Linked DNA regions of Macaca mulatta. The protein of the gene in region 1 purifies or fractionates together with the protein of each later gene. This does not show direct contact. Links are inferred from orthologs where the notes say so. Each region holds a gene or a part of one and is shown on either strand. Other genes may lie near its edges. The genes, in order: RTEL1 and MMS19.

What was found.
Region 2: the proteins of RTEL1 (region 1) and MMS19 purify together in Homo sapiens (affinity purification with western blotting; 4 studies listed by BioGRID and IntAct, with this or other methods). This does not show direct contact. The link is inferred for Macaca mulatta from reciprocal best matches to the Homo sapiens genes RTEL1 and MMS19.

What each region holds. Positions count from the first base shown.
Region 1 is NC_133415.1:116,535,212-116,539,020, reverse strand, and holds part of RTEL1 (regulator of telomere elongation helicase 1), read right to left. Parts: intron 736-3,809; coding exon 697-735; intron 623-696; coding exon 544-622; intron 1-543. UniProt on the Homo sapiens protein: A probable ATP-dependent DNA helicase implicated in telomere-length regulation, DNA repair and the maintenance of genomic stability. Acts as an anti-recombinase to counteract toxic recombination and limit crossover during meiosis.
Region 2 is NC_133414.1:109,517,846-109,521,654, forward strand, and holds part of MMS19 (MMS19 nucleotide excision repair protein homolog), read right to left. Parts: intron 3,370-3,809; coding exon 3,231-3,369; intron 2,666-3,230; coding exon 2,511-2,665; intron 1,848-2,510; coding exon 1,769-1,847; intron 1,164-1,768; coding exon 1,038-1,163; intron 846-1,037; coding exon 764-845; intron 418-763; coding exon 317-417; intron 213-316; coding exon 63-212; intron 1-62. UniProt on the Homo sapiens protein: Key component of the cytosolic iron-sulfur protein assembly (CIA) complex, a multiprotein complex that mediates the incorporation of iron-sulfur cluster into apoproteins specifically involved in DNA metabolism and genomic integrity.

The DNA.
Region 1 (3,809 bases):
GGGTGATGTTCCGTGGGGGTGTGTGCTGTTCTGTGGGGGCGTGCGTGCTGTTCCGTGGGTGTGTGTGCTGTTCCGTGGGGGCGTGGGTGCTGTTCCGTGGGGGCGTGGGTGCTGTTCCGTGGGGGCATGGGTGCTGTTCCGTGGGGGCGTGCGTGCTGTTCCGTGGGTGCCGTTCCGTGGGGGTGTGCTGTTCCGTGGAAGCATGTGCTGTTCCGTGGAAGCATGTGCTGTTCCGTGGGTGTGCTGTTCCGTGGGAGTGGGTGCTGTTCCGTGGATGCGTGTGCTGTTCCGTGGGAGTGTGTGCTGTTCCGTGGATGCGTGTGCTGTTCCGTGGATGCGTGTGCTGTTCCGTGGATGCGTGTGCTCTTCCTCTCAACGTCTCAACAACCAGATCATGCAAACCGGGCGCTCCTACCAGGTCTCCAAAAGGGAAAACGGGCCTGAAAACAGGCCTCACTGGTGGGACAGCCCAGGACTGCACCATGGCCTATCTCTAGCTCTAGGCTGGGCCTCCAGTGAAGCAGCTGGCTCCCCGCCTCTCACCTCCCTGGCTTGGTGACACCGCGGTCGTCTCCAGGCAGCTCAACGGCATCGATGGCCCCCTCCAGGCGGAGCAGGATCACTGCAGGTCGGGTTGAGGAGGCATCAGGGGGAGGCCCCACCCAGCCGCAAGAAGGTGGGGAGGGCAGCACTTACTCTTCAGCTTTGCAATGTCTTCCAGCTCCATGTTCAGCCCTGGGCAAGAGAAAGGCAGCAAAGGCACAGTCTGTGTCACACTCAGACCAACAACCCCGCCCTTGAGAACCAGGATTCCCGGCATGGAAAAAAGGACGCCACCATGGGGGAAGAGGCTACCGGAACCCATGCCAGCCAGTCCAAACTGGAGACACCAAGAGGAGGCGTTTTCCCTTTATTTATCTATTTATTTTGGAGACAGGGTGTCACCCTATCACCCAGGCTGGGGTGCAGCGGCACTATCTCTGTTCTCTGCAACCTCCGTGTCCCAGGTTCCAGCATGTCTGTCTCCCAACTAGCTGGGACTACCGGCGTGTGCCACCACACCTGGCTAATTTTTGCGTTTTTAGTAGAGATGGGGTTTCACCATGTTGCCCAGGCTGGTCTTAAACTCCCGACCTCAGGTCATCCAACTGTCTCGGTCTCCCAAAGTGCTGGGATTACCGGTGAGCCCTTGTGCCCAGCTGGGTGGTTTACCTTCAGAGTTAACATTTGTGAACACATCTGTGCGTATGGATGTATCTCCACAAAAACACCCAGTAACAATGACCAACCCAGTAACCATGACTAGCCTGTTGCCGCATCGTGGGTCCTGAAATACCACCTTGCAGGAAAAGAAACCAGAGCTTCTTGGAGACTTGGCTGATTCCAGGTCTGGAGCAGGACATGAGTGTGAAAAATCCTGACTCCCAGACAGCAAAGAGGCCACAACTGCTGGGGTCAGGACACACGGGCCCACATGAAAACACCTCGAGGTGGAGAACGGAGGTCAGGAGTGAGATTGAGGGTGGCGCGCGGAGCAGGACCAATCCCTACACGCTCACGTACATTCACTGATGACGTCTGATTGATTGACTGATTGATTACTGAGACAGAGTCTCGCTTTGTTGTGAGGCTGGAGTGCAGTGGCGCGATCTCAGCTCTCTGCAACCTCCGCCCCCCGGGTTCAAGTGATTCTCCTGCCTCAGTCTCCCCGGTAGCTGGGATTACAAGCACGCGCCACCACGGCCCACTCATGTTTTGGGTTTTTTTTTGTATTTTTAGTAGAGACGGGGTTTCACCATGTTGGCCAGGATGGTCTCAATCTCTGACCTCGTGATCCGACCGCCCTGGCCTCCCAAAGTGCTGGGATTACAGATGCGGGACAGCACACCCGGCCCACAGCCAGCATTTATCCCGCCTTTCCTGTGTGAATGGGATCACCACACGGCTGATGCGATGCAGAGCATGGTGCTAGATTATTCCTGCTAACTGACTAAGTGACAGAATTGGCACACTACCATCTTGCAATCCCCCAATAATCAACAGAGTCAGGTGTTCAGCAGCAACAACGTTAACGTCAGAAGAAACTGGAAAGCAGATACTGTGAGCCTCCTGATAGAAAGGACATCCCGGCCGGGCGCGGTGGCTCAAGCCTGTAATCCCAGCACTTTGGGAGGCCGAGGCGGGCGGATCACGAGGTCAGGAGATCGAGACCATCCTGGCTGACACGGTGAAACCCCGTCTCTACTAAAAAATACAAAAAACTAGCCGGGCGAGGTGGCGGGCGCCTGTAGTCCCAGCTACTGGGGAGGCTGAGGCAGGAGAATTGCGTGAACCCGGGAGGCGGAGCCTGCAGTGAGCTGAGATCCGGCCACTGCACTCCAGCCTGGGCGGCAGAGCGAGACTCCGTCTCAAAAAAAAAAAAAAAAAAAAAGAAAGGACATCCCGCCTGGAGCCAGGCAAAGGGTGGCCCCAGTCTAACTGGGGTCCTCAAGCCACCTAAGGGCACCTAAGTGCGGAGGAGACGAGAACACCGGGGAACTCGTGTGACTGCCCCTCCCATACCCAGATTCAGACTCCGCAGGGTTCCTCTCAATGTCTCAACAACCAGATCGTGCAAACCGGGCGCTCTACCGGGCTCTCCAATAAATAAAGTGTGAGGAAAAGAATGAACCCTGCCAAGCACGGTGGCGCACGTCTGTAGTCGTCCCAGGAGTTTGGGAGGCCGAGGCAGGAGGATCGCGTGAGCCCAAGAGGCGGAGGCTGCAGGAGGAGGAGGCTGCCGTGAGCCCTGATGGCACCACTGCTCTCCAGCCTGGGTAACAGAGCGAGACCCCATCTCCAAAGGCGTAGGAGGACAAATAGCGATGAAAACTGAAGTTCCAGTCCTGAATGAGACGGCAGAAGCCCCCCTCACCACACGTCCCCCACTAGTTACAACGAAAAGCCCTGCACGTCACGTAACTAACAAAACTGAAGAGTGGAGAAGGCCCCTGTGGCGGTGTTCACAGCCCTGGGGGTGGCCGGGGTCTCTCCCACGTCACACAGCCCTGGGGGTGGCCGGGGTCTCTCCCACGTCATATAACCGACGAAAGGGCAGCTGCCGAGATGCGGAAGGAGACCTGTCATTCTCCCCACCCTGCGCCAGGCAAAGGATGGAAAGAGGTGGCCATCCACTCCCAGTTAGAGGTGGGGTTGGGGGACTGTGGAGAAGAGGGAGGTGGAGCGTTCAAAGTCCCAGGAACCCCTTCCCCTACTGCAGCGCCCTGCGTGGCAGCCTTGAGATCCGATGGCAGTGGCGACCGCCTGCGGTCCCGGTGCTTTAAGAGGCTGAGACGGGAAGACCCCACGAGCCCAGGAGGCTGAGGCTACAGGGAGCTAAGATCACGCCACCGCATTCCAGCCTGGGCAACAGAGTCAGACCCTGTCACTTAAATATATGTATATATATAAACGGATCCTACAGCCAGAACAAATGCCAAGTTCGCAAACTCACTCTCTCCCAAGCAGCCACCCTGGTGAGAAAGGTGAGGACGAGGCTGCCCAGGGTCCAGGGTCCCCATGGTGTCCATCCACATGTGCGATTTTAAAGGAAAATGAGGAAAGCTGATGCTGGAGATGCTCACACGCAAGTCACAGCGGAACCAATGAAGATGCTCACAGACTCCTAGTCAGTTGTTTACAGCGGCCACGCAGAAAACACGACACAGGCCGGGCGCGGCGGCTCACGCCTGGATCCCAGCACTTCAGGAGGCCGAGGTGGGCGGATCACCTGGAGTTTGAGACCAGCCTGGCCAACATGGAGAAACCCT
Region 2 (3,809 bases), on another chromosome or scaffold:
TCCAAACTTGACTACAGCTCCCCATTCAGCCCAGTCCCTTGGTTATTATTCCTAGTAGTTACCTCTGTTCACCTGCCAGAGATGCTGCAGCAGCAGAGGCAGTGTCTCCTTGACGATGCTGGGATGTGTTGATACAGCTGACAAGGCTTGCAGACAGCACAGATGCTGGGAGCATTGGATGTGCTCATCTCCTTTAGTCAAATTTGACTCCCCTGAAAGCAACCCATAAGATGAAGGTTCACTGTGTGATAGCAAGCACGAAGGCCCCAAAGCCTTGCTGGGAAGGGATGCGCCACAGAGGATTAGAGACACATACCTACACGCAGCTCCTCAGCGAGCTTGGGTATGAGGTGGCTGCTGAAGGCCACAGGGTAGAGAGCAGCCAGGGCTCCTGATGCTTCCAGTGCTGCCACCCTGCTGGAGGCGCAGAGCAGATGAGCAATGGCTGAGCCTTGGCTCACAGCTCTCTTGCCTAGGTCTGATATTAGGCAGATTCAGGAGTGTGAGCTCCCAACACCTCCTTGCCAAAGAGTAGAAGTCAAGTACCTACACCACTGAGTTTGACAGGGTTTCTTAAAGCCTAAGAAGAAAGCAGTCCTACATCTCTCCAACCGGTTAGCAGCCAGAGCCTAACACAGAGCTCACCTCCCCTAAGGAGAGCCAAGGGTCAGAAGCACAGAGCCCTGGTCCTAGCTTGATCTGTTGCTGCCAATACAGAGGCAGGGAACAGCGTGCTCTATATCTCACTGCTTTAAATTCTCACCAACTCTGGGAATCCTCCTCCAGGAAGCTCAGTCTGTACAGGTGACCCACTGCCAGCTCCAAGTCCTCAGAAGATAGGAGATCTGTAGTTAGAAGGGAACATGAATCCCATCTTTCGTCCCCTGCAGCCATCACAACCCTTCCAAGCTCTTATTAGAAATCCCAAATCATCCAGAGTTGCAGTGAGAACAGGATAGTAAGGCTGCTTTTCACTAAGGCAGCCTTACAAGAAAAGGACCAATATCCTTCTCTTCTCTCTTTCCCTTAAGATGTACCTGGCTGGGCACCCAAGACTGTGAGTGTACGGATGCCAACAAGCTGAAGCTGGGTGCTGGGGTCTGTTAGGGCCATGAATACCAGTGAGCACAGCTGGTCCTTGAAGCCATTCAGAGGCCTTTGATCTAGGGAGAGACAGAGGCCAGGTTAGAAGGAAGCCATTACATTCCATATCCCTGACTAAGCTGTGATATACAGACAACCTGGGGTAGATTTTTTTTTTTTGAGACAAGGTCTCTGTTGCCCAGGCTGGAGTGCAGTGGCACAATCTGGGCTCACTGCAGCCTCTGCCTCCCAGGTTCAAGCTATTCTCCTGCCTCAGCCTCCTGAGTAGCTGGGACTACAGGCATGTGCCAACATACCTGGCTAATTTTTGTATTTTTAGTAGAGACAGGGTTTTTCACCATATTGGCCAGGCTGGTCTTGAACTTCTGACCTCAAGTTTTCCACCTGCCTTAGCCTACCAAAGTGCTGGGATTATAGGTGTGAGCCACCATGCCCCGCCTCCTGGGGCAGATTTAAAGAGCTTAATCCACTGGGTATCCAGGAAGCACACTGAGAAAAATAAACAGATCTCATCCATCTCATCTGTTAGTGTTCTCTTGTGCTACAACCTCAGAATAGGACCATTGTTCTAGACTACTTTTCCACAGCACTCTTTGCCCTGCTGTCCTTTATAGTCTGCAGTGTTCAACAGTCCCCAGAGCACTGCAATGGAAGGCAACCTCACCTTTGTCTTCATAGCTCCATTTCTGCTGCAGCTTCAAGAAACCCAGGAGCATTTCAAGGATTGTCCGCCGCTGGCTGCTCTGTAATGTTTCAAGGGGTACTGGAGTCAAAGAATATTTTAAGGTATTTCAATCCTGCTACTCTGGATGTAGGGAGAAACCTTTCTTTCTTCCAAGAGATGGGGGTTTTGCTATGCCACAGTCAGGCTGGAATACAGTAGCATGATTATAGCTCACTGCAGCCCCGACCTCCTAGGTTCAAGTGATTCTCTCGCCTCAGCCTCCTGAGTAGCTGCGACTACAGATGCGTGCCACCTTATCCAGCTAATTTAAATTTTTTTTTTTTTTGTAGAGATGTGGTCTTGCTATGTTGCCCAAGCTGGTCTTTAAATCCTAGCCTCAAGTGATTCTCCCGCCTTGGCCTCCCAAAGTGCTGGGATTACAGGCATGAACCAGCATGTCCTGCTTGGCTAATTAAAAATAAATTTTGTTTTTTAGAGATGGCATCTCGCTTTGTTGCCCAGGCTGATCTTGAACTCCTGGCTTCAAGCAATCCTCCCTTTTTGGGAGAATGATCCTTTTATGTAAGAGACAGGGAAAAAGTAAGTAAGGGAAGCAGCAGCAGCAGCTAATGGGAGCAAAACCCAAGATCTACTATGTCGGCCCCAGCTAAAACTTAGCACTCTGAGAAAGGGAACCTAGCACACAGGTCCCATCATTCCCCCAAAGATTCTGCTCCCTTACCTGACTGTGCTTGTGGAACTGTTCCAGCAGTAAAGGCAGGACATTGCTGGTGATATAGTCACAGGCCCGGGCAGATGCACCTGCAGCTGCCTGCAACAGCTTGGCACTAGGCCACACCAGTTTCATGTCTGGTTCACACAGGTGGTGCCTGCAGTCTAGAGAAGCAGCACATCACAGACCTGGGGAGGAGGCCAAACGGTGCCTGACTCCCCTACAGTCCACAGAGGTTGGAGACTGAGACCCATGACAGTTTGCAAGCAGTTAACACTCAAATTGTTTTCAATTCAGAGTAGGGCTATTGCCCCCAGATCACCAAATATATTGGGGCTAAACAAGAAAGGTCACTGGCCCTTAAGGAATGTCATTTATTTATTTATTTTTTTTAAAATTTGAGACAGAGTTTTGCTCTTGTTGCCCAGGCTGGAGTGCAGTGATACGATCTCAGCTCACTGCAACCTCTGCCTTCCAGTTTCAAGCGATTCTCCTGCCTCAGCCTCCTGAGTAGCTGGGATTACAGGTGCCCACTACCACGCCCGGCTAATTTTTGTATTTTTAGTAGAGACGAGGTTTCACCATGTTGGCTAGGCTGGTCTTGAACTCCTGACCACCCACCTCGGCCTCCTAAAGTACAGGGATTACAGGTGTGAGCCACCACACCCGGGCAAGGAATGTCATTTCTATTGTGCTCACTCCCCTTCCTGGCTGCCACAGCCCCATTACCCTGTAGAATGTTGCTAAGGAAGGAGTCAAGGAGGTCCTCAGCATCAGCCCTCAGCACAGAACGAGACAAACACGCAGTCAGGGAGTGGAGGGCCGCCAGGCCCTCTGCCTCCACCCGCTCACTTGCCGTCTGGAACACCTGTCAGGGAGGGATCCCATGGCTACTGAGGTGAGCCTGCACCAGATGAGACCCCACCAATCCACTGCCTATTTCCTTGTTGGAGAGGAGAGTGAGAACCTCTAGGACACAGAAATGGAAATTAACACGTCAACTGAGTGTCTTCTCAACTGGTGTGTTCTTACCAAGTCCTTAGTCACACTCAGGACAGAGACACACACTTTCTGAGAAACAGAAAACCAACTCTGAGCAGTGGCTCTGCTCACCTTTCTATTCACCACGGTGTCAGAGGCACCATAACCTGCACTCCTTGCCACAGAAGGACAAGAAGTGGGTAATGTGCAAAGGTGATCAACTGCTCTTACCAAGCAGCTGACTGTCACATAGGGACTCTCTCTCGTCATTCAACTAGAATTATGTCCCCCTGCTTGCCTCCTGAATAACCAGGCATAATACCTTGG